Caenorhabditis elegans: one gene and its partner. The protein of the gene in region 1 interacts with the protein of each later gene in a pairwise test. Each region holds a gene or a part of one and is shown on either strand. Other genes may lie near its edges.

What was found.
Region 2: the proteins of thoc-7 (region 1) and vet-1 interact in a two-hybrid assay, tested with the Caenorhabditis elegans proteins (one large-scale study listed by BioGRID).

Annotation. Positions count from the first base shown.
Region 1 is NC_003282.8:13,874,204-13,890,104, reverse strand, and holds thoc-7 (THO complex subunit 7 homolog), read right to left. Parts: upstream 7,372-15,901; coding exon 7,219-7,371; intron 7,173-7,218; coding exon 7,068-7,172; intron 6,720-7,067; coding exon 6,652-6,719; intron 6,600-6,651; coding exon 6,394-6,599; intron 6,162-6,393; coding exon 6,061-6,161; 3' UTR 5,928-6,060; downstream 1-5,927. Other genes in the region: lin-66 (GATA-type domain-containing protein), read right to left, coding at 1-229, 1,756-1,894; rpl-29 (60S ribosomal protein L29), read right to left, coding at 7,521-7,672, 7,827-7,863; B0513.4 (Transposase), read right to left, coding at 8,619-8,696, 8,749-8,852, 8,923-8,976, 9,823-9,949; prdh-1 (Proline dehydrogenase 1, mitochondrial), read left to right, coding at 13,500-13,554, 15,229-15,380, 15,824-15,901.
Region 2 is NC_003279.8:6,195,952-6,211,852, reverse strand, and holds vet-1 (Very Early Transcript), read left to right. Parts: upstream 1-9,776; 5' UTR 9,777-9,786; coding exon 9,787-9,893; intron 9,894-9,978; coding exon 9,979-10,828; 3' UTR 10,829-11,055; downstream 11,056-15,901. Other genes in the region: mrpl-23 (Large ribosomal subunit protein uL23m), read left to right, coding at 1-106, 150-491; ech-1.2 (Trifunctional enzyme subunit alpha, mitochondrial), read left to right, coding at 746-771, 1,914-1,962, 2,107-2,319, 2,384-3,124, 3,169-3,669, 3,716-4,239, 4,354-4,645; T05E7.1 (BAAT_C domain-containing protein), read right to left, coding at 4,969-5,238, 5,281-5,367, 6,346-6,687, 6,948-7,245, 7,293-7,398, 7,457-7,563, 7,742-7,839; col-55 (Collagen triple helix repeat protein), read right to left, coding at 11,660-12,100, 12,157-12,180.

The DNA of each region.
Region 1 (15,901 bases):
TTGTCCTTGCAAGTGATCAGACCAGCCTTGGCAGACAACCAAGTCAACACTCCGAATCCATGGATGGTGTCGGCTCTCTGTTGTTCAGCCATAGACGGTGGAAGGACTTGGGATGGAGTGACGAGAGGCTGTGGAGGGACCATCTGAAGTGGATGTGGGTTCTGGTACTGATTCAGCATTCCGAGTGTTGGCATGAATGGGACCGCGTGGTTCCCAAAGTTGTCCGGGGCTGAAATAAACTGATGTCTGGGAGAAAAATTAAAAAATTTTGCAGTTTCAACTATTTGATTTTTAAAAAATATTAAAACCTAAAAATTAATTATGAACCCGCAATGCGAGCTCACTTCGTTTTGAATTTTTGCTTAATCATGAATATCTTAGGTTTTTTCGCTGATAGTACCCAACGTGGAAACTACGATAGGTTACGGTACGGGATCGAATGTTTGAACACTAACTTTTTACTATTAGTTTACAATTCTACTGTTTCAAATTTAACGGAAATATTGGCACCTGACAAATTTACCTCAGTTTTCAATTAGTAGGTTGTTCTAGAAAAAATTTGAATGGAGGGTGAAATGGAAGTTAAAACTATAAAATGGAGTGCGTTTCGAATTTATTCTAGGTCCCCTCTAATTGCTCACCGTACTTTAAAAATTGCGTAATCATAAGCGTCCTAGGCATTTGACACAATGCACAAAGTTGAAACTACGGTAGGTTAAGGTACGTAGAAGTTATATGATGGCCGTGGGTACAAGGTGCTCGAGAAGTGATCCCTGTACGCAATTTGTGTGCCGTATAACTGTAGTCACTGCAACCTGGTTCGGTAGAGTGCATTTGCACTACCCATTGCCTTCGTAAGGTTCCGTTTTACAGGGGCATGTAATGCTAATCACATTTTTATTAAAAAATATGATTTCGCTGCGGGACCCGGCCCCTCACAAAATATTGCTTCATAATATCTATAAAGGTTAACAGGTAGGAAGGAAAAGTAATACCATTTCATTCCGACAAAACCTTAAATGTCGAGCGGATCCTACAACTACAGTACCAGATCTCTTGAAAATCTACCGTATTCCGTAATATTCACAAATGATACGGCTGCCTCTAAAGGGTCTACCGTAGAAAACTTGAGGTTCCTAGGAGTACCTTTATAATTTTAATTGGCTAGTCCCGTGAACCTAGATTATCAGAAAAAATACTGTTACACAATGGATATAAAGCAAACGCGTGAGAATCAAAAATATTGTTTGGTCCAATTTAATTCCGAATTTCCTGTTTTAGTATTGCATGCAAGACTAAAAGAGATCACGATTAATAGACGAAATACGGTATATGCTTACGTATCCAGTACCGTGATTCGAGTACCTCTACAGTAACCAATAAGTCAAGCGGATCCTGTAAAGACTACAACACGAGATCTCTTAAAAATCTACGGTACTCCTTAAAGGGTCTAACCTAGAAAACCTGGGTATCTAGGAGTACATTTATAGTAACTCTAGTCCTTTAGTCCTATGGTGCACACGAACAAAAAAGTACTGTTTCACAATGGTTATAAAGCAGAAGCTTAAGAATCAAACATATTAACGCTTTTAAAAGATTTGCATATGAACTTTTATATATGTTATCGTATCCAGTACCGTTATACGATGCACACTAAAGCCTTCCTTGTAGGAGAGGTATTGTTGAACTTAGAGCTAGACAATCGGGGGCTCGGATCGATATTGATCTTTGAGTACTGGTGGGGTGCTTCCTTACCTCCCATCTGCGAAAACTGTTGGAGTGACCATAACGACTGTGGTGGCTGTTGCTGCTGCTGTGATTGTTGTTGAGGTGGTGGTCCCCCTCCGAGTGGTTGCTGATTCGACGAGAAGAGACTATTCATTTCGTAAGACATCCCGTTTCAAGCTGTCTTCAGTCCGTTCGTCGTCGCGTCGATTCACACACCACAGACAACACAACACGTCGATCGATCGTTCGGGATGGATGACGTGATGGATCCTCGGTGCCTCGAGAATACTGGAATACTGATTTGATTAGATTAGAGTAGTTGGTTAAGGATCGGAGATGACTTAGAAGGAAAAAGTAAAAGAACAGAATTTGGGCAGCAACATACGCACTCAAAAATATATGTATGAAAACTAAACTGAATAGAAATATAAGAAGAATAAAACGAAAAATAGGGGAGAAGACGGAGAAAAAGTATGTGAAAAGAAACAACATGGGGGTTGTGTGTAGTGAGAGAGAGGGAGAGTGCATCGTGTGAGAGAGACAGCTAGAGAAAAACAGAGAAAGACGGGAAGATGTGCGCTGTGTCCCGAAAGGAGAAAGAGAGAGAGAGTGCCCGCCGCTCAACACTCACGCTCACGGACGCTCGCTCGCGCAAAAACGCTCATCGGAGAGTAGTGATCTCTCTGTCTCGGCGTCTACGACTCTTCTAACCACTCTGTATATGTGTGCGCGAGCGTGCCCGAGGGACACCAGGTCTGCGTCTCCGCACTCTCTCGCACTCACCCTCATTTTCGTTCGGGTGAGCCAGCAACGCAACACACAACCCACTCAGCCCACCCCGGCCCGGTCTATCTATCTATTGGGGGACTGAGAGAGAGAGAAAGGGATGGAGAGAGAGAGAGAGAGGAAATCAATAAGCACACAGGAAAGGGTACTGCAGCAGAAGAATAGTCTATAAAAATATATGAATATGCATGTGAAGAAGAAGAAGAAGCGTCATCAAAGGATTATCCTCGCTTCACAAGCTTTAAATTGGTCCTGGGTCCCTCCACGCAGCCAAGTGCGCTCTACTGCACTACTACAGTATACCTGTCAAGTAACCAAAAAACATGTTGATAAGATGTAGTCTACTATTTTTTTTTCAAGTGATAAGGAGTACTAGAGTTGCGAAATGTTGTTAGGGACTTTTTTTGGGGCTCGGAAAATGACGAATGTGTAATAAGATACAGTAATGCGAGATTGAGGTCTCGCGACGAGCGAATTTTTTCCAGCTACCGTACCCAAGAGTACGGTAGAATATTTGTAGGGTTTCCCAATACGTTTGATATTTTCACATGAAAGTTAATAGTTTTTTGTTTTTTTTTACCTAAAGAAGAAAAAAACCAAAAATTAACAAAAAATATATTCCTACAGTACTCATGAGTACTGTAGCTCAGAAAATTTTGCTCATGTCGCACTGCTTATTAAATTAATCCAGTTGTAATTTTCGAGAAACATTTTTTATAAATTCAGTGAAACGGAAAAAAAATCGTATTTCCATTGGGACTGGATTTAACGGGTCTCGCACCGACTTTTTGTGATTTTTGTTGCAAATTTTTGTGCTACTGCTAATTTAATCAATTCTATTGTAGCTAAACTTTTTGGGAGCACGGAAAATGACGAATGTGTAATAAAATATAGACTACAGTAATCCGGGGTTAAAGGCGCTATTACTCAGATGTACAAGTTTGCAAGTTTTAAAGTAAAAACACGGTAGTAGGTCTCGAAACGACTTAAACTTTGCAGCTACAGTACCCACAAATATTATTTCGCAATTTTCCACGTTTATTTAAAAAGGAATTTGGCCTTTTTCAAGATTTTCAATAAAGTCATATGTAGTTTTTGTATTTAAAATTTTCAAAAATTTTACCGAAGCCGCGTTGCAAGCGGAAGCGCTGAAAATTTGCAGATTGGGGTCTCGCAACGAGCGAAATTTTTTCAGCTATCGTACCCAAGAGTACGGTAGAATATTTGTAGTGTTTCCCAATACGTTTCCTCTTTTCACACCAAATTAAATATTTTTTTGTTTTTTTACCCCAAGAAATAACTGAAAATCAAAAACTACAGAAAGAAACCAAAAATAAAAATAAATTTCTACAGTACTCATGGGTACTGTAGCTGAGAATTTTTTTTTCAAAAGTATCATGCCAGTTCTCGTTTTATTGTTGTAATTTTCGAGAAACATTTTTTGTAAATCCAGTGAAACGGAAAAAAATTGATTTTAATTGGGACTGCCGGGCGGGTTTTATCGAGTGTCGCAACGACTTTTTGTGGTTTTTGTTTCAAATTTTTGTACTACTGCTAATTTAATCAATTATATTGCTGCTAAATTTTTTTGGGAACACGGAAAATGAATATGTAATAAAAAACAGTAATCCCCGTTTAAAGGCGCTTAACGAATTATTCAGATGCGCAAGTTGGCGATTTTTGAAGAAAAAGCACGGTACTGGGTCTCGAAACGATTGAAACTTTGCAGCTACAGTACCCAATATTAATATTTTGCAATTTTTCATTATTTTTGAAATATAATAATACCGAAGACGAGTTGCAAATGGAAGCTTATTATTTTTCTGTAAAAAGCAGCGCTGAAAAATTGCAGATTGAGGTCTCGCAACGAGCGCTTTTTTTTTCAGCTACCGTACCCAAGAGTACGGTAGAAAATTTGCAGGGTTTCTCAATACGCTTGCTCTTAGATCTTATCACACGAAAGTATATAACGTTTTTATGTTTTTTTTTACTTTTAGAAATTACTGAACATAAAGAAATAAAAATAATTTTTTACAGTACTCATGGGTACTGTAGCTTAGAAAATTTTTTTCGTGCCAGAACCTGAATCCGATCTGTTCTAGAAACACTCTTGCATCTTATCAATCCAGTAAATAGTAATTTTCGAGAAACATATTTTATAAATCCAGTGAAACGGAAAAATTGATTTTAATTGGGACTGCCGGGTGGGTTTTATCGGGTCTCGCAGTGACAATTTAGTGATTTTTTGTTGAAAATTTAATAAACTTCGATAGTTGGGTGTCGGCACGATGGATTTAAGAACTCAAAAAAACCTGAATTTTCGCACAAAATTCGTCTCATTTCCCCAGAACTCTTGGAAAACCACAGGAAAAACTATATGTTCTACCAGCCGTGGACCGCACCTACGACGGGCCCCCGACTTTTTGAGAAAACACATTAGATATACGGTGTCTATCGCGGACCTCGATCGATGTCTGCTGCGCACTTAACATAAGGTTTCCCAAAATTTCGTTGCTCTGATCAAAGATCAAACTACATAGGGACAGAAGGACACGCGCTTTATATATAGTAAATGATAAATAAATAAATATTATTTAAATAAATAAATAAATATTAATTAAATAAATAAAAAAATATTAATTAATTAATTAAATAAATAAATATCAATTTAAAAATAGTCTATGTAGTCTTTGTAGTCTGTGACGTCACACCCAAAGTCACTGAGAATTGTGGGCGGGGTCTGTCATCCTTCGTGGTGAGACCCATCGTGGTGAGACCCATCGTGGCGAGACCCATCGTGGTGAGACCCGTCGTGGCGAGACCCATCGTGGTGAGACCCATCGTGGTGAGACCCATCGTGGCGAGACCCATCGTGGTGAGACCCATCGTTGCGATACCCACCGTAGTGAGACCCATCGTGGCGATACCCGTCGTGGCGAGACCCATCGTGGTGAGACCCATCGTGGTGAGACTCGTCGTGGTGATACTCATCGTTGCGAGACCCACCGTGGTGAGACCCGTCGTGATGAGACCCATCGTGGTAAGACCCATCGTGGTGAGACCCGTCGTGGTGAGACCCATCGTGGTGAGACCCATCGTGGCGAGACCCATCGTGGTGAGACCCGTCGTGGCGAGACCCATCGTGGTGAGACCCATCGTGGCGAGACCCATCGTGGTGAGACCCATCGTCGCGAGACCGATGTCTGCTGCGCACTTAACATAAGGTTTCCCAAAATTTCGTTGCTCTGATCAAAGATCAAACTACATAGGGACAGAAGGACACGCGCTTTATATATAGTAAATGATTTTTCCATTCCCCACGATGCCCATTTTGTATTTCGTATATTTTCCTTCGGCAGGACTTCAAAAATCCCGCAAAATTATGTACAAAAAGTCACAATAAAAAAGTAAATAAATGTTCGAGAAAAGTGTTCATTGAAAGTGAGAGAAGTGAATCGCATTAGAGATCATTATCGACAGAAAAAGTATTTTCGCCCGCTTTTCTCCTTTTTTTTTCGTGTGTGTGTCGTGGTGGTGGCCGTCTGTCTACTTTCGGACATCATCCTCTTGTTGTTTTTCGGTGACTGAAGCTGCATCGTCATCTTCTCCTGGATTCGACATGACTTCCGCATCGTCGTCGTCGTCTTCTGAAACAAAAAAAAATAGGTGAACGATCAAAGAATGGGAATTCAAAGACGGAAAAGTGATAGATGACTGCCGTGGGAAGACTGAAATTACAACAAAAAATGAAGCAGAGTTCAAAGAATCAAACAGTGAGGCGATTTTACTGAATTTTTACAAAATTCACAGATCGATCGTTTGATTTCAACAGTAATTTCACGGCTTCAGCTCAACTTTCCGCAATGAATGCACACGAACCTGCACAAAAACGCTGAAAATTGGAGAGTATAATCATGAATGCTTGGAGATGATTTCTTCGATCCATAAGCTTCGCCTCAAGCACCTTCTGACGTTCGTGTTGTCGTTCCAAGTCATCTTTGACTTCTCCCAGTTTTCGTGTAGTTTCTGCTCGAGACGGTACTTCTTCTAGTACATTAACAAGTTTTCGGTATTCTTGACGGTTTCTAAATGATAAAATATTGTAAATTGGTTAACATTTTTCGGAAAATCGATTACCTTTTTACAATTTTCGCATCGGCCAACTCATTCTTTGCCACCTCCATCTTTTTGTACATTTCTTCGATCTGGAATAGAAATTAAATTTTTATAATTATCCTGTCTTATATTTAACGGCAATTTAACAAAATGACCTCTCGTTTTAACATTTTTCATTAAAAATTGGTGTCAAAATATAGAAAATTACTAGATTTATATGGAAATAACATCCATTTTGAAAAACAAAGCTCGCTAACTCTGTAATCGACAATTTTCAGGTCATTTACATTTCTGAGCACTTTCTCAAATATTTCAATTACAATGAACCTGATTTTCAGATAAATCAAGTGATTTTCTATCTTTTTGCACTAATTTTTAATGGAAAGATGGTGCAATATGTCTTTTTTTTCTCCATTGCCGTGTTTTCCTCTCCGTACCGATTGATCGATTTCCTCTGCAAACTGATCGCATTCAGTTGCATGAATCTTGTTCATATGGGATATTCTTTTCTGCTTCAACATCGACAACTCCAAAAACTCGAGCTGAAAACATACATTTTCACTGAACAAGATCTCCCCGGATCCTTACAGCTTTGGTAACCTTCACTGCTTCGGGAACAGAAGTCTTCGCATCCTCCTTTCTACTTTCACGGAAAAACGTGGCAATTTGCTGAACTTTACGATCATCGCCAACTCCTTCGCCGTCGGCCACAAGCTTTCGGAGCAAAGTGTCCTCTTTCATCTAAAGTCAGACATACAACTTGTTCACGCAACATGAGCCGAATGTTAATTCAAATATTCTGCACGGCGCATACTTCTACCAATTTTTTAATAAGTAAACAAAAACAGATGATATTAAAGGTAACAAAGTTTATCCGAATTAACAACAATTTAGGCCTTGGACTCGACGGACTTGTTGATCTGACGTTTGTTGTTCTTTCTGGAGAAACGGAGGTTCTTGATGAACTTGGCGTCGACTCCCTTCATGGAGAGGAAGATGTGCTTCTTTGGCTTCGTGATTCCATTACGGTGAGCCTTCTTGTCTGAAAATTAAATTATAAATATTCAATACTGTTTTTTTCTAGTTTTTATTTTAATGATTCATCCAAAAAAAAAATCGCTCAAATTCTTTAAGAATGCTTTTAAAAAGAGATTTCTCTACAGAAACTACTTTTATATCTGAATTTAAATACTCACTCTGGTTGTGATTGGTGTGGTTCTTGGACTTGGCCATGACGACAACGGTTAACCCTGAAAATGACGAGTTGTGATAGAAAAATGTGAATCAGTCAAAAAATCGATAACCAAACGACGAAAACGTGAATTTTTGGGACCATAAAAGAGAGATCTTACAAAATACATAAATTTTACTAATAATTCTCAAATTCAAAAAATTTAATCGCGAAAAAGAATCAAAAAAGGTTAAAAACTGTAGGATTTGGAAGAAAAATGAAAGAAAACGGAAAAGAACGCGGCTGGCGGATACGGTCACACTCGTTCAGCTGTGTGCAGTCGTGGCGAGACCCGCTACGGAGAGAGTGTGTGAAAAGAGGAGACGCCGACTAGTTTCGTGTCGATTTACGAGCTGAGGAATTTTTCATTTTATTTTCAGACTTTTCGAGCAATTTTCGGCTGAAACTAGGCGAATACTTTGAAAATTGTTTGTTAAATTGTTAAAAAGTGATTGTCTGTTAGTAGATTAAATGGTTTTTCTTTAAAATTTCGTCATTTAGCTTGTAGAATGATGTTTCTCACTTGTTTTCAAATAAATTTATTTTTAAAACTCTAATTTCACCGATTTTGCTCAGATTAAAAGTAAATCAGACAGTATACAATTTAATTTACTTTTGAGGCCAGAATTGATAAAAAGCCGCTACGGTTACCATCTTTCGTTGTATTTTCGTGCATGTCTCGACAAATTGCAGAATTATTTCGAATGTATTTTATTTATGTCAAAATTAAAAAGAATTGAGTTTATCGTCGGTTCATTCAATAAGAAGTATTCGGTGAGCAGCAAACGCAGAGTGGTTGTTTCTCAAGGACCATGTTGAACCCGATGATGGAGGCCTGAAAATAAATTTTTAAAAATATATTTTTTTCTACAGCTGTGAACGATCACCTCCTTGATGTTAGTTCCCTGGATTCTGGCGGCCATTTTGCAGCATTTATCACAGGAATCGTTCTTGTACGTGTCTTGGCAATAGTTCACCGTTGGACGGTAATCTGGAAAGAAAAAATCAACGGAATGGCAATTCATTGGAAAAAAATGAAGCAAAAAATACAAAAAACTAACGCTTTCCGCCCTGTCCGAAGAGTCCATAGTTGGCCTGGATTGTGCACACATAATCTGAAAAAAAAGTCTTGATTTTCCCTCATGATGCCCAGCATTTAGAAAAAACTAGGTGCTCGTGCAAAAGGTTAATAGCCACGTGTAGTGTGCCACATGAAACATGACGCTTTGGTCCGTCATGTGGTGCACGCGGGGGGAGCAAGCAGACGGGAAGTGCACAGAAAAACTCGGTTTTTTCACTTTAAAATCGTGATCTTTTGAGCTAAGGGATTCGAAATGCACCACGTGGAAGCTGTGATTCATGTTTATTTTTGTGAAAAGAAAGTTTTTGTTATGTTTTAAGTATTGGTGTTTCCGATTTACAATTTGAAAATATTATTTTTCCTATAAAGATCTGTTTTTCCGGTAAAAACCAGGTTTCCCTTTGAAAAAAGAGGTAAAAACGTATTAGTGAACGATTTTTTATCCAAATTTTTTGGTTTGAGCCTTTTTCCGTTTTTTTAAAATTCAATTTTGCAAAATTTTCCGATTTTTGAGCGAAAAATTAGGTTCCCGGTCTTGAAACGACAACTTTTTGTGAAATACAAATGTATGTGCGCCTTGAAAGTGTACTGTAATTTCAAAGTTTCATTGCAATTGGATTTTCATCGATTTTTCACATTTTTTTCAAAAATTTATGTTTTCAGTGTTACATTTGAGTTTTTTAATAAATAAATACATTTTTATCGATATAAAATCACAAAAAATTTCGCGGAAAACTAGTTTTAAAGCTAAAGTTTGAAACTACAGTAATCTTTAAAGGCGCACACTTATTTGTTTTTAACCAAAATACGTCGTTTCGAGACCAAAAATAGTTTTTTTTCCCAACACAAAAATTAATAATAATTTCCCAAAACGACTCACTATCATTAAGTGCTGCTGGTGGATAATATTGAGCCGGTGGCGCGTAGGCTGGTGGAGCCTGCTGAGCTCCGTACTGTGCGTGGACAACAGCCAAAGCTGCGATAGAAATAAGAATGAGAGAATTCATTGGGGGGGGGGGGGGGGGGGGGGGGCGAAATACAGAAAAAATGAGAAATTTCCAGAACTCCACGATGCTTTTATATCCTCATTTTGATCTGAAACTCTTTGCCTCTTTTCCGCCCACGCGGCTCAAAAATTCCAGAGCATTGAGAAAATTGAAAATTCCTCTTGTTCTGACACCGATGTCGGTGTTTGTCAAAGACGATAAGATCTGGCTGAAAATGTAATGAAAACAATAATATGTGTAGTGGAAGTGAGGAAGTTTTTCTTTTTTTTTCGTTTCTGTTTCATTGTAGACATATAAAAATGTAGAAATATCAATTCTTATTCACAATTTTTTTTTGAAATTTCGTCAATTCATAATCTGATTTTGTAAAAGAAATTCAAATTTTATGATTAAAACAAAAATATTCTTTGAAAATTGGTTTTGTTGCTGTATTTCAAATTTCTACTGTTTCACTTAGTTTATATAAAAGTTGTTCCAAAAAATTTGAGCATTAATAACGACACTTTAGCAAAAAAGAGCACTGACTACAGTTTTTTCCCCAAATAGAAAATAAAATCCCGAGGGCTCCAAACTAACAGAGACATCAATATTTGCAGAGTATAAGTGGTCTTTCAAAAATAATTTTCACCCACTAGATTTTGAAGATTTCTCGGAGACAAATATTTTCATTGTTCCAAATGGTTTATGTAACAATTGTGGAAATTTTATAATCTGATAAGTATTCACAAGGGAAGCTTTTTAGTTTACCGTCAGACTTCAAAACGAGACATGTGTCATTTGAAAGTGTTCCATAAGGATATGTCACTGCAAAATTTTAAGCGGTAAAGGTTCACTCTCAACCCCTCTAGCATTGGTCTGAAACCGTTTCAGTGCATTTTTTCACTACTTTGGAGGCCTGTAGAATTGCTCCAAAATTTTTTTTTGCAAACTTTCAATGTTTTTCAGAACGTTTAAAAGTGGGAAAACAATCTGGGAGATTTTTGGAAACTTTTTTTTTTTTTTTTGAAAAAAATCTAAAAATTTCTAAGAATTTTCAGAACATTACCTCATAACAATTACCATTGGAATTTTATTGGAAAGTGTTTCAAAAAATATCATTTAAAAACGTGATTTTTTTGATTTCGGCTAACAGAAACACCCTGTTTGAATTCCCTCTATGAACTGCAAAACCAATCAGCAATTCGCTCTGCCGATTTTTCAACCAATTAGAAGGAGTGGGCGGAGTTCGAAAACGCTGATTGGTTCAAATATGGGCGTGGCTTCTAATTTTGGATGGAATTCAAAAATAGGATTCTCAAAGTTGGAGTTTTCACTGTTCCCCTCGCATTTTTCATATTCTTGTTTTTTTTTCCTAATTTTTTGGTGGTCGACAGCAAAATATGTATTTGCGTTCAAAAAAGAAGTTCCTGATTACGTATTCCGAAAAAAATTTCATGACATTCTAAATCTTCTTACAATCTTCTAACATAAGATTTCCACTGTTTTACTATGTTAATATCATCCAAATATGTTTTTCAGTTTAATGGGACACACTTTTGGTTTTAAAATTTTATAAATTTCAAATTTCTCAACGTCATTTCCTTCCAATTCTCTCCACGTGTCCCAACTTCTGTCCAGTTGCTGCAGAAAAAATCATATGTAAAAATATAACACCTAACGTTTTTACTGTTTCAAATTTAAAATTTAGAATAAACTGCATAGCATCCCCAATGTGACTTGGAAACGAAAATTGTTTCAAAAACGTGATATTTCGATTTTGGAAAAAAATCCTATTTGAATTCCCGCTGAGAACTGCAAAACCAATCAGCAATTCGCTCTGCCGATTTTTCAACCAATCAGAAGAAGTAGGCGGAGATCGAAAACGCTGTTTGGTTTGAAAATGGGTGTGGCTCCTTTTTTTATAAGGAGTTCAAAAATAGTGCTTTAAAAGCTAATTTTTCATTCTTCCTCGAATGTTTTTCTATGTACCCTGTGGTATTTCTAAAACTCAGACTCTTCTAGATGTTTTAGAGCTAATTCAATGAATTAATTTTTTACTGTTTCAGTATGTTTATATAATCAAAATATGCTTTTTAGTTTACTCCTTCTTAGATTTAACATCATTTCCTTCCAATTCTCTCCGCGTGTCCCATCTTCTGTCCCACGTCTGCAAAAAGAAAGCAATATAACAATCCTGCACAGACACATTTTGTTGTTTCTTCTCCACCTCCTGTTCCAACGTCATTGCATGTTTGTGTGCAACTCTGCGCCTCTCCGCTGAAGGATTTCTATTGCTCAAGACGAGGGGACTCTTTTTTCATTTTTTCGCGCCGTCTGAGCCTCTCCCACTTTTTGCTCCATTTTTTGTTAGTGTGACTCAAAAAGAAGTGGCCAACTGGCAATTCGTTTGCTCTCTTACTTAACTGCCCCCTGCTACGATTAACCACTTGTTACTTTTGAAACTACACAGGGTTTAGGGGGGATTAGGATTTTTTTGCCGGATTTTTCAATTATTTTTTTAATGGGGTTTTAGTAGTTTTTTAGACGAAATAGTCTTAAATAAATAAAACATTTTTATTTTTAAAATAATTTTAAAATAAATTTTTCTCACTGTTTCAAAAATATTATTTTTGTAAATAGCTATATTTAATTTTGATGGAAAGTTATGTTTACCCAATTTTTTAAAAGTCACTCGAAGCTATGTAGACCAAAAAAAATAACTCAAAATTTATTTTCCTGTTTCGCAAAATTAATAAATCTCTAATCACAGATACATATCAGTAATTTCTTTTTTTTATCTCCTAAAAAAGCTTTTAAAAAATTACTGCTAAGATTTAGTTAGTTTTCAACCAAAAATCAATGAATATAAAAATTTAATCTGTTTCACGGTGTTGATGAATGTTGGAATTTACAAAAATATTCACTTATACGGATATCTTTATAGTAGAAACTTGGTTATCTAGTTGAAAGTAAAGTACCGTGAATTTAGAACTTTTCTTCGAAATATTCACCAAAAATTGCTTCAAATTCAGAAATATGTACTTCAAAATAATAATGAAAAAATACAGAAAAAAAGGAAACTCCACATTTAAAAAACATTTAAATAATGTTTTTTTTTTCAATTTTCAAACTAGCCTCTTTTTTTTGAATTCCCTCCAAAATAAGAATTCACTCCCATTTTCGAACCAATCAGCGTTTTTGGTTCCCGCCCACACCGTCTGATTGGTTGAAAAACGGGCGGAACAAAAAGCTGATTGGTCGGTCTGTTCTCAATCTGGAGGGAATTTAAAAAGGGAGATTAACTTCTTAGAGGAATCGTTAATTTTCTTGTTTTTTTCTTTAAAAATACATTTCTGCGATTTCCGCGATTTTACGACTCCGAGGAGATTTTTTTTTTCGATTAAATGCCCAAATTACTTGGACCTTTGGTCAAATGAGATTTAATTTTTATTTACAAAAAAAACACATTTTCACGTGGACCATTTTATACTTTGACATTTTCTTCATTATTCTGGCCATTTGCGAAAAATTCCAATAAAAACCTTCATTTCTCGATTCCAGTTCAATTCCAATGCAAGCAGCTTTGATAGGACTCAACTTTCCATTGCAAAGACGCTTTTTGTCAGGTAATTTATTCTGCCAAGCAGCCTCTAATAAATGCCGAGTGTGGCGACTCCGCCCCTTTTTCGCGTTTTTTCGCGTTTTTTCGCGTTTTTTTTGGCTTGCGAAAAAATGTCACACTTCGTTTTCATTCACAACTCCTGAACCGTGTGACTTCATGCTCTAATATTTGAAATCCTACTAGAAATATTTTGCCCCACAGTGGAGCAAAAAACGGCACTAAGTTCGGAGCAAAATTGAGCCCAGGGCGGCTTTCCCCAGTTTGAAAAAATTTTTTGTTGCTCTTTTTACCCCCAAAAAAGCATGTTTTAATTGAATTAAAATTCGGGTTTTGCTCTGTTTTGTTTCAAACTCATGTGCAAGATACTACTCAGAGAGACTGATTTTTTGAAAAAAAGTTTGAGTTCATAAGTGCAAATGGAAAAAAGTTGTGATAAAACAAAAGGCCAAAAAAAGACATTTTGCCAAAAAAAATTTTTTTTCCGAAAAAGTAGTTTTTCGTCATTATCTCAAGTTCTACTTCATCTTTTTTGATATTTTTTTGTTTACTCTACGTACAAAAGTACGCTGAACACGATTTTTAACTCAGAATTGGAAAAAGTTCTATGAGTCGGCCGAGCAAGACGAATAAGTGCCAAATTTTGCACACTTCTCCATTTTCGTGAATCTACTTTTTCAATCATAACTCGGTCAGTTTTCAATTTTTCTTAGTTTTCCAAAAATTGACGTGTAGGTCTCATCAAGACGCATCGAGACATATAAAATTTGTAAAAAGTTCAGTGGGAAAATTTTTCAAGAAAAAAATTATTCAAAAATTTAGTACTGGGGGGAGTGGTTTCCTGGGTCTCCTGAGCATTTTTTCCACTAAAGTTTTGCGGAATGTATTTTTGATTCATAGTTTTTGATTTTATTTAATGAAAGATGAAGTTTCGTTGCATTAGAAATACTCTGCCAAGAGATATTATTTTTATTAATTTTCAGGCCAAAACTTGTTTTTTTCTATACATCTGTCTGTGTACAAGATATAGCCCTCAACTGTACGTCTCCTTTTTGGGAAATCAATAATGAGTACAATCCTGTAATAAAATTTTCAAAAATTCGTTTTCCCGCTGACATATCATTAATGAACGGTTTTCGAACGCCTTTTCTCAAAATGTAATTATTGAAGAAAGCGGAATCGAAAGACGACTCCCTCCAGAAATTCACCTTCCTTACATATTATATAGTAATACTCGATTTTATACAAAATATGGGTACGTCTCCCCCCATATAAATCCTCCTCAAACTTCAATCAATCAAAACTCAGCTTTAACTGATTCATCGGGTGCGTCTGTTTTTGGTCAAACCGAACTCAAAAATCAAGAAGACATTGACCCACTGAAAATTTCACGAACCCTCTAACAGGTTCGAGGCGAAGCCGAGAACCTACGCCCGGCAGGGGGACTCGCCTTACACCCCCTACAACTGGCGGGCCCGCAGGACCCGCTAGTCTTAAAAGAAGAATTGTAAAAACCCAGTTACGAGAAATTTTTTAAAGAAGTTTAATTACAATATGAAACAGACATTTTTCAGTTTTTTTTTTGAATAATTATTTTTTTTTGAAGAAATTAATCACGAAAAAAAGGTCCTAGAAATTTAATATTTATGTGAAACAGAACATTTTAAATTTTGAATTTCAGGTGTCCTAACCACAACAAGTTCCGCCAAAAGATGTTATTCCGGTGATACGGGGAAACCATACGATTGTACATCTGCTGAACACAAGAAAGAACTGGAAGAATGTTATAATCGATTGGATTTATCTTTTGAAAATACAAAAGAGGCATTTAAGGTGAGGAAAAATGCGGAATTTAAAAAAAAAAAATTTGCCAAAACATGGAAAATAGTGGCTAAACTTCGCCTACAAACTTTTTCACGATTACTTGAAACAGCAACTTTTTAAAAATAATTTGTTTTACTGTTCCAGCAAAAAATTTGTCATTTCGAAATTATATGTATGAAGCATTTACAAAAAAATCACGATCAGTGCTTTAACTTTTTTTTGAAAATTAATTATCAAAAATGTTAATTTCAAGATTCGAAAAAAGTAAAATCTAACATTTTTCTATTTTTTTCTAATTTTTTGGACGACCTTTTTCTGGCAGACTTAAGTATTTTAGCAGTAAATATTTTTGATAGAAAACAATTCTACTGTTTCAATAAAACTTTTTATTAATTGTCTACATGAAAATTCCAGTAGCTTTGGTTTTAACTATAATAATAGAATTCTTTCAGAGCAAATCAAACACCGAGCTCGTGCGTGCTCTTGTCGTTCTTCGATTATGCGGAATTCAAACTCTTGTCAATCAAAAT
Region 2 (15,901 bases), on another chromosome or scaffold:
GGGAAATCCACAACGACGCGTCTTTCTTCCAGATTTCTGGATGGCTGTGGTAGAATCACCAAGTGTTGGAAGGAATCGACTTCCGAGGAATTGTGTTAAATTTGAGGTTTTTTCCACTGTTTTTTAAAAGTGAATTTCCATAATTGTAGGTTGATCCGCGAATGTCTCGTCATGATATTCGTGAATATCTCACAAAAATTTACGATTTACCGGTTCGTGATGTGAGAACAGAAGTTCAAATGGGCGATATTACATGGAATTCAAAACTAGATCATCAATACAAAAAAGCAATGTGGAAGGATGAGGATAAAAAGATTGCATACGTGTTCATGTCAAAAGGTTTCGAATTCTCATATCCACAAATGTTCGAGGCATTGGAAGAAGATTTGGAATTAGTGAAAGCAATGAAACAACAAGAAGAATTGAAGGATAAACTCAATGAGCGATATGCCAATAGGAACAGACGTGTTGGACAATTCCTTGGCGCTTAATTTGAAATCTTCTGTATATTTGTGTTTTTGATTCATTTTTTAGGATCTTTGTTTTGTTCGTTTCTGCTAGATCAATAAAATTTTAAAATCTTAAATTTATTTTCTTTTTTTAAAAATGTTATTGCCGTAATGCAACGATTGCTGAATTATTTTAATCATTTATTTCATTCTGAAAAGAAACACAATTTTACTTTCTAAACGTACTCAACTATTCTAATCGAAAAGTTAGAAAGTATAAATTAAAGCGATCTACAATGTTTTTTCATGACGTTCACGGGCGGTAATTTTTCGTGAGATACTTTGTACTTTGCCCCCTTCACCTCTATCGTTTTCTGTAGCCACTGTGTTGTCTACTATCTTGTAGTCCATTTTTCTCGCATTCTTTTTATCTCTATGACTCCATTTCTTTCGTTATCCCTATTTTCTCTGATTGCTCTGAACCTCGTTCTGTTGAAATACACGTCTTCTCCACGGCGTTTTTATCAATGAGTTCACAGGTTTCTTTGATTTAATGTACTTTTACCCATTTTTAGTGCTTGGGCATTTTTTCAATTAAAATGACAATTGTGTCATTTTCCCCGTTTACTTCTAATTTTTCTTTAGCTATTTTATTCTACTATTGTCTTTCTTTATTTAAAAAAAACTAGAAACTAGAAAGCACAAAAAATTCATATCACAATCTACTTCCGTAGAGCCAGAAGTATATTTCTTCAATTTTAAAGTTTTGTTTCATTTCGATTCTAACTCCTAATTGTGAATAGGGTGACATTTTTGCAGCATTCGGAGTATGCACTATCGTAATTTCACAAGATTTGGTATGCTTTTTTGATTGAAGGAACACAGGATTTGTTCAGATGGGCGCGCAAAAAGTTTCTGATAATAGCCCTTTTTAATTTTAGCGACTGTTTCTTCGTTTAGCTTTCTTGTTTTTTTCAATGAAAACCACAAAGTTCGCTAAAACAAAAAAGAAAAAGGCAAGGAAAATAAACGAGGAAGCAACCGCAAAAAAGACTACGTTAAACTTTCTGCGCGCCGAGACCCATTTGAATAGATCCGTGCGTCTTTAAGAAGGCATTTCAAAGTCTTGTAAAATTACGATAGTAAGAAGGTACGTGTTTTTCGTCAACATTATCTTATTTTTATTGTCACTATCATCACCATTAGGTGTTCTAATATCAATACTTATGTTTGTCAACTGGGCCATCTTCCAGCCCGCCCATCTCATTTTCTCTTATCTCTCAAGTCGATTTTTTTTGTTTACCCGTCTCTGTCACATCACCGCTGTTCGTTTTTTGTTGTTCTTTTTTTCTTATTCACAACAGCTTTTGAAAACATAGAATTTGAATTAATTTTAAAAAAAAGTTCACGCAACGCCACGTCCTGATTGTATTCTCGAAATTATTCAATTCTGTTCTTTTTCAGGTTTCACCGGGAAGCACGTCAGTGGGCGCTTCTTCGATTCCATCAAAAGGTAACACAAAGCGGTATGTTTTCGATTATTTTGATTATTTGGATAATGTATTTCTAATGTAGACAGATTTTTCTGTCACGAATGATAATAACGCAAAAAAGCAATTTTGAACCCACACTCGGCAATAAAAGTCTTATTTTATAGGAAATGTTGTCGCGTCTTGTCCATCAGTCGTCGTCGACACTTCGCACAAACCTTTCATTTCGTCTCTTCTCACAGTCGGCACCGGCCATGCAAACTACGCATCGAGTTGAGAAACAAGGAGATGTTGCCGTGGTGAAGATTGACTTGCCAAACACAAAAGAAAATGTTCTCAACAAGGCTCTTTTCGCTGAAATGAAGGCCACTTTGGATAAGGTAAGATACAGTTTCGAGTAACTGAAATGACACTATTTGTTTGTTAAAAGAAACATTATTTTAGCTCCAATCCGATGAAAGTATCAAATCCATTGTTGTCATGTCCGGAAAGCCAAACAGCTTCGTTGCAGGAGCTGACATCCAAATGATCAAGGCAGAAGGAACTGCTACAGCAACTGAGACACTTTCCCGTGAAGGACAAGAACAATTCTTCCGCATTGAAAAGAGTCAGAAGCCAGTCGTTGCGGCTATTATGGGAAGCTGTATGGGAGGAGGACTCGAATTGGCACTTGCATGTCACTACCGTATTGCTGTAAATGACAAGAAGACACTTTTGTCCCTTCCAGAAGTTATGCTTGGATTGTTGCCAGGAGCTGGAGGTACCCAAAGACTTCCAAAGTTGACTACTGTTCAAAATGTTCTTGATTTGACATTGACTGGAAAGAAGATCAAGGCTGATAAAGCTAAAAAGATTGGAATTGTCGATCGTGTTATTCAGCCACTTGGAGATGGACTTGGACCAGCAGCCGAGAATACCCATAAATATTTGGAAGAAATTGCAGTAAAAGCTGCTCAGGAACTTGCTAATGGAAAACTCAAGATCAACAGAGACAAGGGATTCATGCATAAGGCTACGCAAGCAGTTATGACCAACTCGTTGTTCCTTGACAATGTGGTTCTCAAGATGGCAAAAGATAAGCTGATGAAGTTAACCGCTGGAAATTATCCAGCTCCACTGAAGATTCTCGACGTTGTTCGTACCGCCTATGTTGACCCAAAGAAGGGATTCGAGGCCGAAGCAAAGGTAAATTATTTTGATTATATTTCAAGAATATGTTTTTTTTTTAGGCTTTTGGTGAGCTTTCTCAAACTTTCCAATCTAAAGCTCTCATTGGTCTTTTCGATGGATCTACTGATGCAAAGAAGAACAAATACGGCAAAGGACTTCCAGTCAATGAAATCGCAGTCGTCGGTGCTGGACTGATGGGTGCCGGAATTGCAAATGTGACCATCGATAAGGGTATCCGAACAGTTCTTCTTGATGCCAACCCGGCCGGAGTCGAGCGAGGACAGAATCAAATTGCAACACATTTGAATAAACAAGTCAAGAGAAGAAAGATCAACAAATTGGAAAAAGAGCGAATCTACAACCATCTTGTTCCAACAATTGATTATTCGGCCATGAAGAATGCTGATGTTGTTATTGAAGCCGTCTTCGAAGATCTTCAACTCAAACACAAGGTTATTAAACAAATCGAGAGCGTCGTTGGACCAAACACAATTATTGCATCAAACACTTCAGCTCTTCCGATCAAGGATATTGCTGCAGCATCTTCCCGCCCTGATAAGGTTAGTTATCATTTTTAAAATATTAATATATTTCATACTTCCTCAGGTTATTGGAATGCATTATTTCTCACCAGTGGAGAAGATGCAATTGCTTGAAATTATCACTCATGATGGAACATCCAAAGAAACACTTGCCACTGCTGCCCAGCTTGGTCTTAAACAAGGAAAACTCGTTGTCGTTGTCAAAGATTGTCCAGGATTCTTCGTTGTCCGTTGTCTTGGACCAATGACAGCTGAAATTATGCGTCTTCTCCAAGAAGGTGTTGATCCAGCTGAACTTGACAAGCTCACAACCAAATTCGGATTCCCAGTCGGAGCCGCGACATTGGCTGATGAAGTTGGACTCGATGTCGCCGAGCATGTCGCTCAATTCCTTGGAAAAGCTTTGGGACCACGACTTGGTGGAGGATCCGCTGATTTGTTGTCCGAATTGGTGAAGGCTGGTCACAAGGGACGTAAAACTGGAAAGGGTATCTTTGTATATGGAGACGGAAAGAAGGGAAGCAAGAAGGTTAACGATGAAGCCACCAAGTTGCTTCAAAAGTACAAGTTGACACCAAACGCATCTGTGTAAGTTTCAATCCATTTGCAAAAGTTTCTACCGTTGATGTTTATGATTATCTAACTCTACAAAGAGGCTTTGATAATATTAGAATATTTACATTTCACTTTTATGATTTATAGCTCATCACCAGAAGACCGTCAAATCCGTCTTGTCTCTCGTTTCGTCAATGAGGCGCTTCTATGTCTTGAAGAAGGTGTTCTTGCTTCACCATCTGATGGAGATATCGCCTCTGTCTTCGGTGTTGGATTCCCACCATTCTGGGGTGGTCCATTCCGTTTCGTTGATCTCTATGGAGCTGATAAGTTGGTGAAATCAATGGAAAAGTTTGCTGGAGCTTACGAAGCAGTTCAATTTGAGCCATGTCAACTTCTCAAGGATCATGCCAAGAGCGGAAAGAAGTTTTACAACTAATCATCTCTTCTTGATCTTCGCGATTGCTGTTTTTTCGCCAATTTTCCCCTAAGTATAAACAGTGTGTATTTGTATTCTATGTGCCTATAAGATGACTCTTTTTTTGTTACCATAGATTGTAGTTTCAGACCGCACATTTTGTGTCCCCTATTTATTTATTCGTTGTAAAAATATTGGTAGAGCATTTTACGAGTCTTTTTTCACCGCCGCTCCATTTTCTTTGTTCTTTTTTGAATGAACAACATTCAATTTTTACCGGATTTGCAAAATTTAATATATTGAAAAATACAAACAACTTTATTCAGAAAATATCCTAGTAATAATTAAAGTTTGCATTGCAACGATTTCGAACTTTTCGTAGACACTGGGAGGGTTACTGTACTTTCTCTTTTCCATTCTGGAATTCTCTTTACGTCACCAAGATGCTTCTTGAAGAATTCAACGTTCTTTTTCCAGGTCGTTTCTTGTGATTTTGAATGTTGATAACATTCTCCACCGAATCCCCATAACATATTTATTTGAGCATTGTAGATGATTCCGTGGTGGGGGAAATATGGAAAATAAAGGAAATGACCACCGGGAACAAGTTCAGACTGAGAAAATGTATTGGTTTCAAAAAAAGTTGAACGCCTCACCTCAACATGATGTCCGGTCTTTCTAAGGTTTCCACAAATATTAATAATCGATGGAACTGCATCCACAAGCATGTCATCGTAGCATTGCTAAAAAATAAATAAACTTTTTTCTACAGTTCTGGAAATTAAGATGTTGAAAATTAAATAAAACAATCTAACTCGAAAAACTGTAGAAGATGTTTTAAAAATGTTCAGTTCACTAAAAATCTGCAATAACCTCCAAATCAATAGCGAGTTGTTTTTACAAAACAGTTTTAGCAATAAAAATCTAGAATGAATGTCTTGCTATTTTTTTTGTTCGTAAGAACTAATCCTATGATTCTCAATTTACCAAAACTGATAACAAAACTTTTATTATTTTGAACAACTTTTTTATTTATATTCAAAAAGTTGCCCATATCCTATCGTAATTTTGAAATTCGACAAAAATAACGTGTTTTCTACAAATTTCAAATTGTATTTATGTTTCAATGTGTAGCATTTAAGAGTACTACATGTCACAATATCTTCAAAAAACTCTCATGGTTGATAAATTTGGCAATTTACCAAAATTCTGAATAAAAGACGTCCAAGTATTTTATCATGACAATATGCCATTTTGGGTTATTTTAAGTGTATTTATACTACATACATCCCCATTGACGTTGAAGTAAAAATGTTTTTTTAAACGATTTTTTGTGAAAACAACTTGCTCTAGAGTTACAGCCGATTTCAGAAAATCAGCACGTTTGACGCTTGCAGCTGTAGATTTTTTAACAAGAAAATTAGTGAATAACTATTTTTAAAATTAATAAACCCCCAACATGAACAATATTTTGTTAGTTGAACGTTTTTGAAAATGCCTTACTGTTCGTTTTTTTTTCAAATTATGATTATATCATTATATTTGATTCACAAAAACAAATTTATCGCGTTCACTCTATATCGTTCAAAGTACAAGTACAAAAGTAAAGTGAATGATGTTCTATGGAACATTTGTAATTCGTGATCCCGAAAATTTTCGTAAATTAGTTAATTTCTACATTTTTTGATTAAATAACATTTTAGGTTAAACATAGAAATTACCACAATTCTATAAGCTGTGTTCTTGGGTGCTCTTGCCCATGGAATACTTGTTGTCGGTGTCAAATTGCTATACAAATCTCTGAATGCTGGTTTTTGGCGTAAAACTTGATTCACAAAATCCGACATTCCTTCATCTAAAATTTGTGTTTCCATTGGTTTTCCATTTTCTTTCATAACTGCATTATCTCTACAAAATGCTGCTGAACAATTCAATGCAACAACTGCAGACACTTGATGATATTTTGTAGACAAATAATTTGCAGTTAGACCTCCAAATGATTGTCCTACCAAACCAATTTTTCCGGAGCAATATGGTGAATTTTGTACATATTCAATAGGTTTCTGCAATAAGCTTTTTGAATTTTTTTGGTCGGCGGATCGTTTTTATTTATCAAACAGATTGCTCCGTGAAGTTCGTAATATTGCTTGGTGCTAGTTAATTTTGATAATTTGAGTGATTATCTGTGATAAAATATACGAAGCATTCACACTGCTATAGAAAAACTGGAAAGTAACAGGAAACACGAGCCATGGACTTGCAAAAGGCCCTGTTTCTTCGACATTGCTAAATTCAGGAAGCTACTGTTCTGGCATCACAGTACCTCAAAAAACTCAATGTCAACGTCCGGGATCAATTTTGGCAAATCCTTTTTATATGCAAAATATGCAAAAGTGAATGTAAGAAACCCTTCGGAAGCCAATACAGCAGCATATCCACTTTCTAACATTCCATTTGATCCAGGAATAAATATAACAGCAGGGAATGGTCCTTTACCAGGTGGTTTGAATAGTGTACCATATAATCCATTTTGTTCTACATTTATTTGTTCAACCAATGGATGTTTCCAGTGTTTTTTCAGATGAATTTCATCTATGATTTTTTTAGAATCATCCAATAACCTGAGAAAAATGTGTTTGATTTTTCAGATATATACAGATATTCTCACTGTAATGTGTAATAATACGTTTTTGGGTCATAAGTTTTGAAAAAATGACCTGGACGGATACTTTGAGTTGGTTCAATTGATATAAATAATCCCATTTGGTCAACTTCTGGAAATATTAAAACAATGAACAATTGGACTTTCAGTTACGAAGGAAGTAGAAATACCTGTATAAGTTCCTCGAATTGGTGCATCACGAGATAAATCAATACATCCCAAGGAATCAGATCGAGCGACACAAAACGATGCATAGGTTCCACGGTCATAATGTAGTCTAAATGGGCAAAATTTTTGGCATAAAAATGAATTCTCGGGCACCTGTAGGCGCTCAGTAAGGCATGTTTATGCCTACAGCTTTATCAACATGATATCTACAGAATACACTTAAAACATCATGATCTTCAAAAACTCAAAGATACAAATGAAGAATAACAAAAAAATTGAGATCTCACCTCAAAATGAATGTATAACAACTCCATTCAACGAGCCCACTTGCACGAATATTAACCTTTTCAGTCTGGAGACTGTCCACTTTATCAACATGAAGCATTTCTTGAAAACCTGAAAATGTAAATAAGCACTTGATTTTCAAAGCAGTTTTTGGAGGTTTCTTTTTATCAATTCGAATTCTGCGATAAGAAATGTTGCATTTTGTTTGGTTTTCCATCTAGTTGATCAGAAAGAGGGAGGAGCTTTTTTTTTAGATAATCAAGTGACTACAAACCGATCAAGTGATTGTTACAATAGACTCTTAAAGTGCATTTCCCGAAAAAAAAATTGAAATTTGTCTAAAACCTGTTATTAAACTTTTTAGATGAATACTGATAGAAGGCAACAAATGCTTGAATAGCTTTAGTAAAGTAGAATATTACAAAGATCTTGCTAATTAAAAAAAATTATATACAAAGATTTGACTCATTATCAATTGTCTGATAGTCAGATTTGCATGCCACATTTTGAAATCATATTCTTTTTATTTCTTAAGAAAGAAAAAAAAATTTAAGAACAACATGCAAGTATTTGTGTGTTGAAAACTAGGGTAAATCAAATGGAAGTGTTGGTAATATTGGCAAATGTCTGAATAACTTCTGTATTTAGGAATTACAACAAATATTGGTGGGATTTCGTTTGTATTTTTGGTTTCAATAGATCAATGAAGCTACTTAAGTGAACGATTTAAAATAATTAAATTTCAGCCGAGTGTCATCGTCAGTCTAGAGTACATTTTATGGATTTTAATTTTCACTTTAAGGATAAAGAGGTGCCACAGTTGACAATAAAACGGATTTAATCTGGATATCAATTCATGTTCGGACGCTGCGACCGCCAAATAAATATATTACGTTTTTAATACTTCAATTCAGTCTTTCCTTTGTCTCTTTTTAAATCCTAGTTTGAAGAGCCCCATACATATAAACTTAACTTCCATTAGCTATTTCATGGTTCTATAAATCTAGGGTACCAGTTTTTGTGACCTTATATTTTGGTACCTTCTCAATCTGCCGTTTCAGGGAGAGGGAGACAATAAGCAGACGATCTCATAGAGCCTTTCTGGATATCGATCCAAATCCAGACGCTGTAATGAACTACCTAACATTCACTCTCATTCATGTTGTTCTCAATTCATTCTTCTCATTTTATCCAGGTCCCATTCGGTACGTTTATTTTTTTGTTCTTATTTTGATTGTTTTAATTTTCTGAGATATCCCAGTTGCAGTCCTAGTAAGTAATTGTGTATTTGTATTAATTCCTTTAAAAAATCTTCAACCGAAGACGAAAAGAGAATAGAGCCCTCTATTTCAGAATACTGACATTTCTAGTGTAAATAAAATAGTGTAAAAAAGTATTACTTTGGTTTTTCATGTACCGGATTTTTCCTGATCGTATTGCACGTATATCTGATTTTAAATAGCTTATATGGCCTTCGAGACTGCTAGATTTTCAATTAAAAACTGGAATAGCATATTTATAGCCAAAATTAATTTTTGAAACTTGAAAGTGATAAAATTTTTTTACATCTTTGAATGTTAACATTTTTTTCTTTCTTAAGGTTTGAGTGGGATGAAAGATTGATAAAACCTGCGAGATTTGTATCGATGGTACTGAATTAACAATAGTGGGAGCTAGATTAATTGGAATTGGAAATTTAGTTTCTTTCAACGTTTACAAAATGCCCATTTTAGTATAGCCATAGATTTGGAGTCAACTACATTCTGAATGACTTCTCTCGATCCAATCAATATATTATGTTCTTCGACAGAAGATCACCATACAATGCAACGCTTTTCCAAAATTGTGAATATCGATCCATATTTGGACGCTGTAAATTCTCACCATCGTTCTCTCTCACTGTTTTTTCGATCCAATTACTCATTCTCACCTAACATTCTCAAAAGGTGCATCTTTCCTTTTTTCATTTATTTATTTGCTCTAGTATTTTCTACTGCAGTTTCACTAAACGTTTCTTTTCAATTAAATATTTTTCAGAACTGAAACTATGTTTGCTGAAAATCCATTCTTCACTCCCACCGAGTCCAAGTTGAAATCGGAGATCGCACTTCTTCAAATGAAATTGGATGACGAACGATTTGATCATCAGAAAACGTAAGTTGTTTGAACTCTAGGACAACGTGCAACCTGTTATATAGATTATATTGTACTAACCCATTCTTAATATGTTCAATTTCAGACGACGAGAGCTTGCCAATTCTCGACTTGAGATCTCTGATCTGAAAGGGGAAGCGAAGTGCCATGATTCGGAACTCAATCGTCTCTACACAATAATCAATAATTTGGAAAAGAAGGTTGAAGATTTGAATGGAGAACATCAAAAGTCATTGGAAAAATTGAAAGAACGTCTTCATGAAAAGGATGCTTTTATCGAGGCTTGTGAAGAATTCTATGATGAGAAGAAGATCAATGTGAACAAAATGACATTGATGAAACAAGAAATGGAATTGAAGAGAATCAAAAAGAACTTTGAAGAATACAAGGAAAGAATGACTGAAGTTGAGAAAAATTTGAACGAATTTATCAAAAGACAATCGGCCATTTGTATGGGAGTGAGATATGAATTGAATATGGAAAAGGATTCGAGAGAGAGATATTTCAAAGAAGCTCAACAATTGAAACAAGAGAAAGATGTATTGGTACATGAAATCAATGAAAGAGAAGTCAGAATTTTGTGTCTGAGAAGTGATATTCTTACATTGAAATCTGAAAACAACGACACCTCTAAGGAACTTGATGAAATGAAAAATGGAACCAAAGCTTTGAAACATGAACTTGAAGAGACCAAGAAAATGAAATCCGAAGCCTTGTCGAAATATGAAGAATCTCAAAAAGAGTTCGAACAGTTCAACTTGAAGTTCCAAAGATTGTGCACAAAGTTCTACGAGGAACGTGTCTCTTCTCAGACAACTTCACCTAAAATGAAAGAACATCTGGCATCTGCTAAGAAACGATTGTCTGCTATCAAGGAAACACTCCAAAATGAAGAAGATTTTGATGAAACCGGAGAAGTAACCAATTATCAATAATTTAATATCACCCAATTACTTTTTCCGTGTTAATTTTTCTTCTTTTAGCTACTATCGCTTTTTTAGCATTTTTTCGATTTGATACTATTGCTTTTACTTTACCATTTCCATTGCACTTTTTCGTTTGTTGTAATACGAAACAATACGGCTTAATTTTTCAACGCCTCGGCATTCTTTCAATCCATCTTAAAATGTTACTCTCTTAATTATTCAATAAATGTTTCATTAAATATCGGAATCACTTTTTAACGTGGATTTTTATAACCAAACAGGTGTACGAAAAGTTTACTATCAATTTTAAATAACAGGCAGAATCAGAGAACTTCACATCGAAACACAACATGAAAAGTAAAACACACGACTAGCGATAAAAACTGTTGGAAAAATCAATCAAATTCAAGAGGAATTTGAAAAGTACGTGCTGAAGGTGGTAGATTAGTGAAAGCTATTACAATATTTCCAACAATTGTGGTTTCATCTTCCATGTTCTTTTTTGAGTGAAATCGAGATGAGTTTTTTGAGAGAGTACTCTAGAATCTGTAAAAGTCGATGATGTAGCGAAAAAGTGCAAATATCATTTTTGCATGAAAAACTAAAACTGATTAGATAAGAAATGACAACAATGGTTAATGATGTTGACCTATGCTCTGCTTGTATACCGTGATTAGTGTCTTTGAAATCAATTCCATAAAATAAAATACGTGAGTGTGAGTTCAAATATACCATTAGAAGACAGTTCAGACCTAGAAAATGTTTTGCAACCAGTTTTGTATATTCTCGAATTAACAATTTTTATGCAAAATGATTTATTTGTAGGAAAACAAAGGGAAGCTAAGCTGAAACCTTGTCAACACGCTTGCGGAAGACCTTGCGATGTTTACGAACTACAACGGAACGAGATGGGCATGGACAATGAGCAGCATCTCCTCCTGGAGATCCAGAGTTTCCTGGCGCTCCTGGAGTTCCTTGTGCACCGGCTTGCCCTGGCTGTCCTGGTGCTCCTGAGGCTCCTGATCCACCAGATTGTACTGGTTGTCCTGGTCCTCCGGCTGGTCCTTGTGGTCTTGGTGCTCCTGGTTGTCCAGAAACTTCAACATGTCCTTGCTCTCCTTGTGCTCCAGGCTGACCTGGTGGTCCTGGTGGTCCAGCTGGGCATCCTTGAGATTGGGATTCACAGTTACATTGTGCTTGACGCGTGTTGGCTCTACGTTTAATTCTTCCAAAGACATCGATTGGTTTCACCATTGAGTTCCATGCCTGTTGTTCGTTGAACTGAAACATTAAAAATATGCAAATGTTTTTCGAAGCTTTGGTTAAAAAAAATATACTTTGAACTCAGTCATAGTATCCATAACCTCATCGTAGAAGGAATTGATATCATTGAAACTATATCCAACAGCGAAAAGACATGCAATAACTGCAACTCCACTGCCTATGCTGACAATTCTAACCAAAAGTGATAAGTGGGGAGATTTTTACACGGCCTTCAAAATTAAAAATATTAGTAAAGGTTTGTAGTAAATAGTTTGGAAAATGTTCCGGGTTCATTATACATAGTTTGCAGAATGTTTTAGCAGGAATAACAACTCTACATCTTGAACTGAAATTTTTCACTAGATAGACAACTGTACTTTTAAATAAAATATCATGCGATGTTAGCAAAGAACTGGTAATCAGGGAAGCAATTCTGAACAAACTAGACTGAAAAAATTGGAAGATTATGAACTTGTACAGAAAGATTTCACAATCTGACAAAAAAGTAGAATTTTAAATTAATTATTTAATTTCTAGAAGACCCAGTTCTCACTTTTGGAACAATTTGACACGTTCTGACGTCGTTCTTCTCATACATATATCTCCCCCCACATGTTTTAAATAATTCATTCGTAGAAGGTATAAGGGTAGTATGTAAGCATCATCTATTCTTTCTGCTTTCCGGCTCTTTCCCTCATAAAATGTGAGCATACCTACCACTAATCTTCGTCCTTTTTTCAATGTTCACTACTTTTATGGTTCTTCTCTTTGTTTGGAAGTGAAAGAGCTGCGAGCATCTTGTTAGATGTACCCGTAAATTGAATTACACTCTCTCTCTTCTTTTCCATTGCAGCAAAATACTGCGAACAAAGGACTTTTGATTCTAGTTTAGTTGGAAAGAAGGAACTTCTAAAGAAACATTGAGAATTCATCCGATTCAATGGTTTTTTCAGTCACATCTCAATAGCCAGTGGCTCTTCACAAATTCTCATCCAAAGTCCCATTTATTTTGACTAATTTAAAAACCCGAAAAACTCAAAGAGCATTTCCCACCAACTGACTCAATGGGCTCCCACTCGTTTTTGTTTTTCTTCCATTTCTTTTTCAACACCACATCTTCACTCATTCTGTTCATTTTCTCTATTTTTTAAACCTTCTTCTGGACACACACTCAGCACTGATACACACCTGTTATTACATGTCGGATGACTCTCTGATTTCCAATCAATTTATCTTTTTGTCTGGGGAGCAGAAGTGAGATACGAAGAGCTCACTCATCATTACGATTTTCCATTGCATTCGTAAAGTTGAAAATGTTTAAATTTGTTAACCTATGTACCGTAATCTTTCAAAAATGGATGATGTTTTTTTTTAAATCTATGTCATTCGTAAATTTTGAGATCCGGATGTCCTAAAAATGTCTGACATAGATTTGAGAAAGCATAGATTTATTCTAATTTTCAACGTGAAAGTTTTGTCTCTAAATTTTGAGATTCTTAAAAGCTGCACAAAGCTTTGAAAATGATGAAATTTGAAAAGCTTTGAAACGTTGAAAATGAAAATAAATCTATGCTTTCTTAAATCTATGTCAGACATTTTCAGAACATCCGGATCTCGAAATAAACATGATATTCGTGTTTAACGTGTTCTCAGCATTATAAAAATATTTTTTCGACCAAAAAAACACAAGTTCGTTTTTTTGCCCATTTTTCGGAAGGCAAAGGTCCAATTTCGTTTTTCAGAGCGGAAGACGATTTTGGAGATAAGCCAAAATTTTTAAAAATCCTTTCGGAATCTCATAGAGGACTGAAAAGTATGACTATTTATCAAAATTTGAAGAAAAAAAAATGTTAAAAATTAATGATTTTTCAGACAAAAATTGAAAATTACAGAAAATTGCATGTGACTTTTCTGAGACTACTGATTTTAATACGTATTTAATGGATGAAATATGTTAAAAAATTCATAAAATCATTTGAACTTTTTCTGATTTTTTTTGTTGTATTCAAATTACGTAGATCAATATTAATAGTGACTTTAAAAAATTCTGCATGATAGTAGGAATTGAAGATGACATTTTGGAGTTTCCTTAATTTTTTTAACGATGCACCCAACATGTTATAATCTAAATAATATATATTTTAATTTAAAACAATGCAAAGTTAAATTAAAGTCTATAGCTGAAAATGTCTATTCAATAGAATATAGTGAATGGAAAATATAAAGCGGACATAAAAATCTATTTGCTGAAAACATGCATTTTTTTTCAAATTGTTATTTTCAATAAGCATGTCTAAAATTAAACCCCAAATTCTCTAAATTGTTTCAATTTTAGATGTAATCTTTGAAGATGAAACAACAATTTGTTTCACAAACTAGACAATTTCATCTTTGAAAACTATCTCAAATTTCGTAAAATCTAAGAAACAAATGATCATGAGACATGACACCATTCAAGATCTTTTCCTATCTCACTTTGGCTCTCACATGAGCTCGTGTGAAAGAGAGAAAGTTCTTTTTTATATTGTCATTTTTTTTCAGTTTCCTATTCATCATAATCATCATCTTCATAAACTGACTTTTGTTATTCTAACTCAACCAGGTATTTATTTGAAAAAAGAAAAACAATACTGTCAGGAATGAAGTTTGAAGCTGAAGATTATAATATTATTTTCCGTATTCAAATAATTTTTTTTGGAACATATTTTTCATATAGAATCAAATTTATAATTATCTAATCTGGAAACATTCAGTTTTCTTTCATCAAATCGCCATTTTCTTACTTTATGTGTTGAACACTGTTTAAAAGTGTAAACTTTAAAATACCCAAAAATTCAGTTTCTAATTCATAATTCTAATTCAGAAACACCACAGAGGTAAAATGTGAAAAATCAAAAAACAATGAAAAATCCCAGTTTCTTTTGTTGCAAATCACCATGTTTGAATTTCCTCCAAAATGAAAACGGCAAGACAAATCGTTGTTGATTGATTCAAGAGTAGGTGACGCTTTAGGAGAAACGCTGTAGAATGTTGGATTTATAAATCTTGCTCGATTTTTTTTGTTCCTTTTGCGGTAATCCTGAATTTCAACTCGGCGCGCTCCGTTTTTTTGGAGTGGGTTTTTCCACGATCTCTGTTATGGCTGTCATGGGAAGTTTTACTACAAGTTCATTCCCAGGTCAAATTTGTCACAATAGCAGACACCAATGGTTTCGAAAAACAAAATATCTCGTTAAATTGATTGGAACTTTAAAAATTTGTCCCCAAACTACAAAATTCTATTTCCATGCCCATTATTTCCCCATGTGCCTGCTTCGTACACCTGTGAATAGATATCTAATGATTCTTCTTTCACCTCAGCTCAAAACAATGCAATTAATTTTTAGTAACTACCATGAAATCGAACAAAAGTTCTATTCGCCAACAATATTTTCACATCAGAAGACAACACAAATATTTTGCAATTTCTTTTTTTTTCATATTTTTTGCCTTTCTTACACAGGTTAAAATTTTCATTGACTTTTTCTCACTCTTTTAAAATATTCATAAGTTCTTCCCCTTCTCACCTTCTGTTCTTTTCGTCTCTTATATCTGTGTAGTACCTAACAGTTGCTCTTCTTTTTTTTGCTGAAAGAAAGAGCAAAAAAGAAAAAGAAAAGTTGGACTAAGGCCAAGTGAAGTAGAAAGAAAAAAGATGAGAGGAGTTCAGTTTTGTTGCATTTTCCGCCCACCTTATGGCTTCCAATGGTCAAAACTCAGTGAAAGATATCAAAAATTTTCTGAATGTCATGGGCAAAAACTTTTTTCAAACTATCGTAA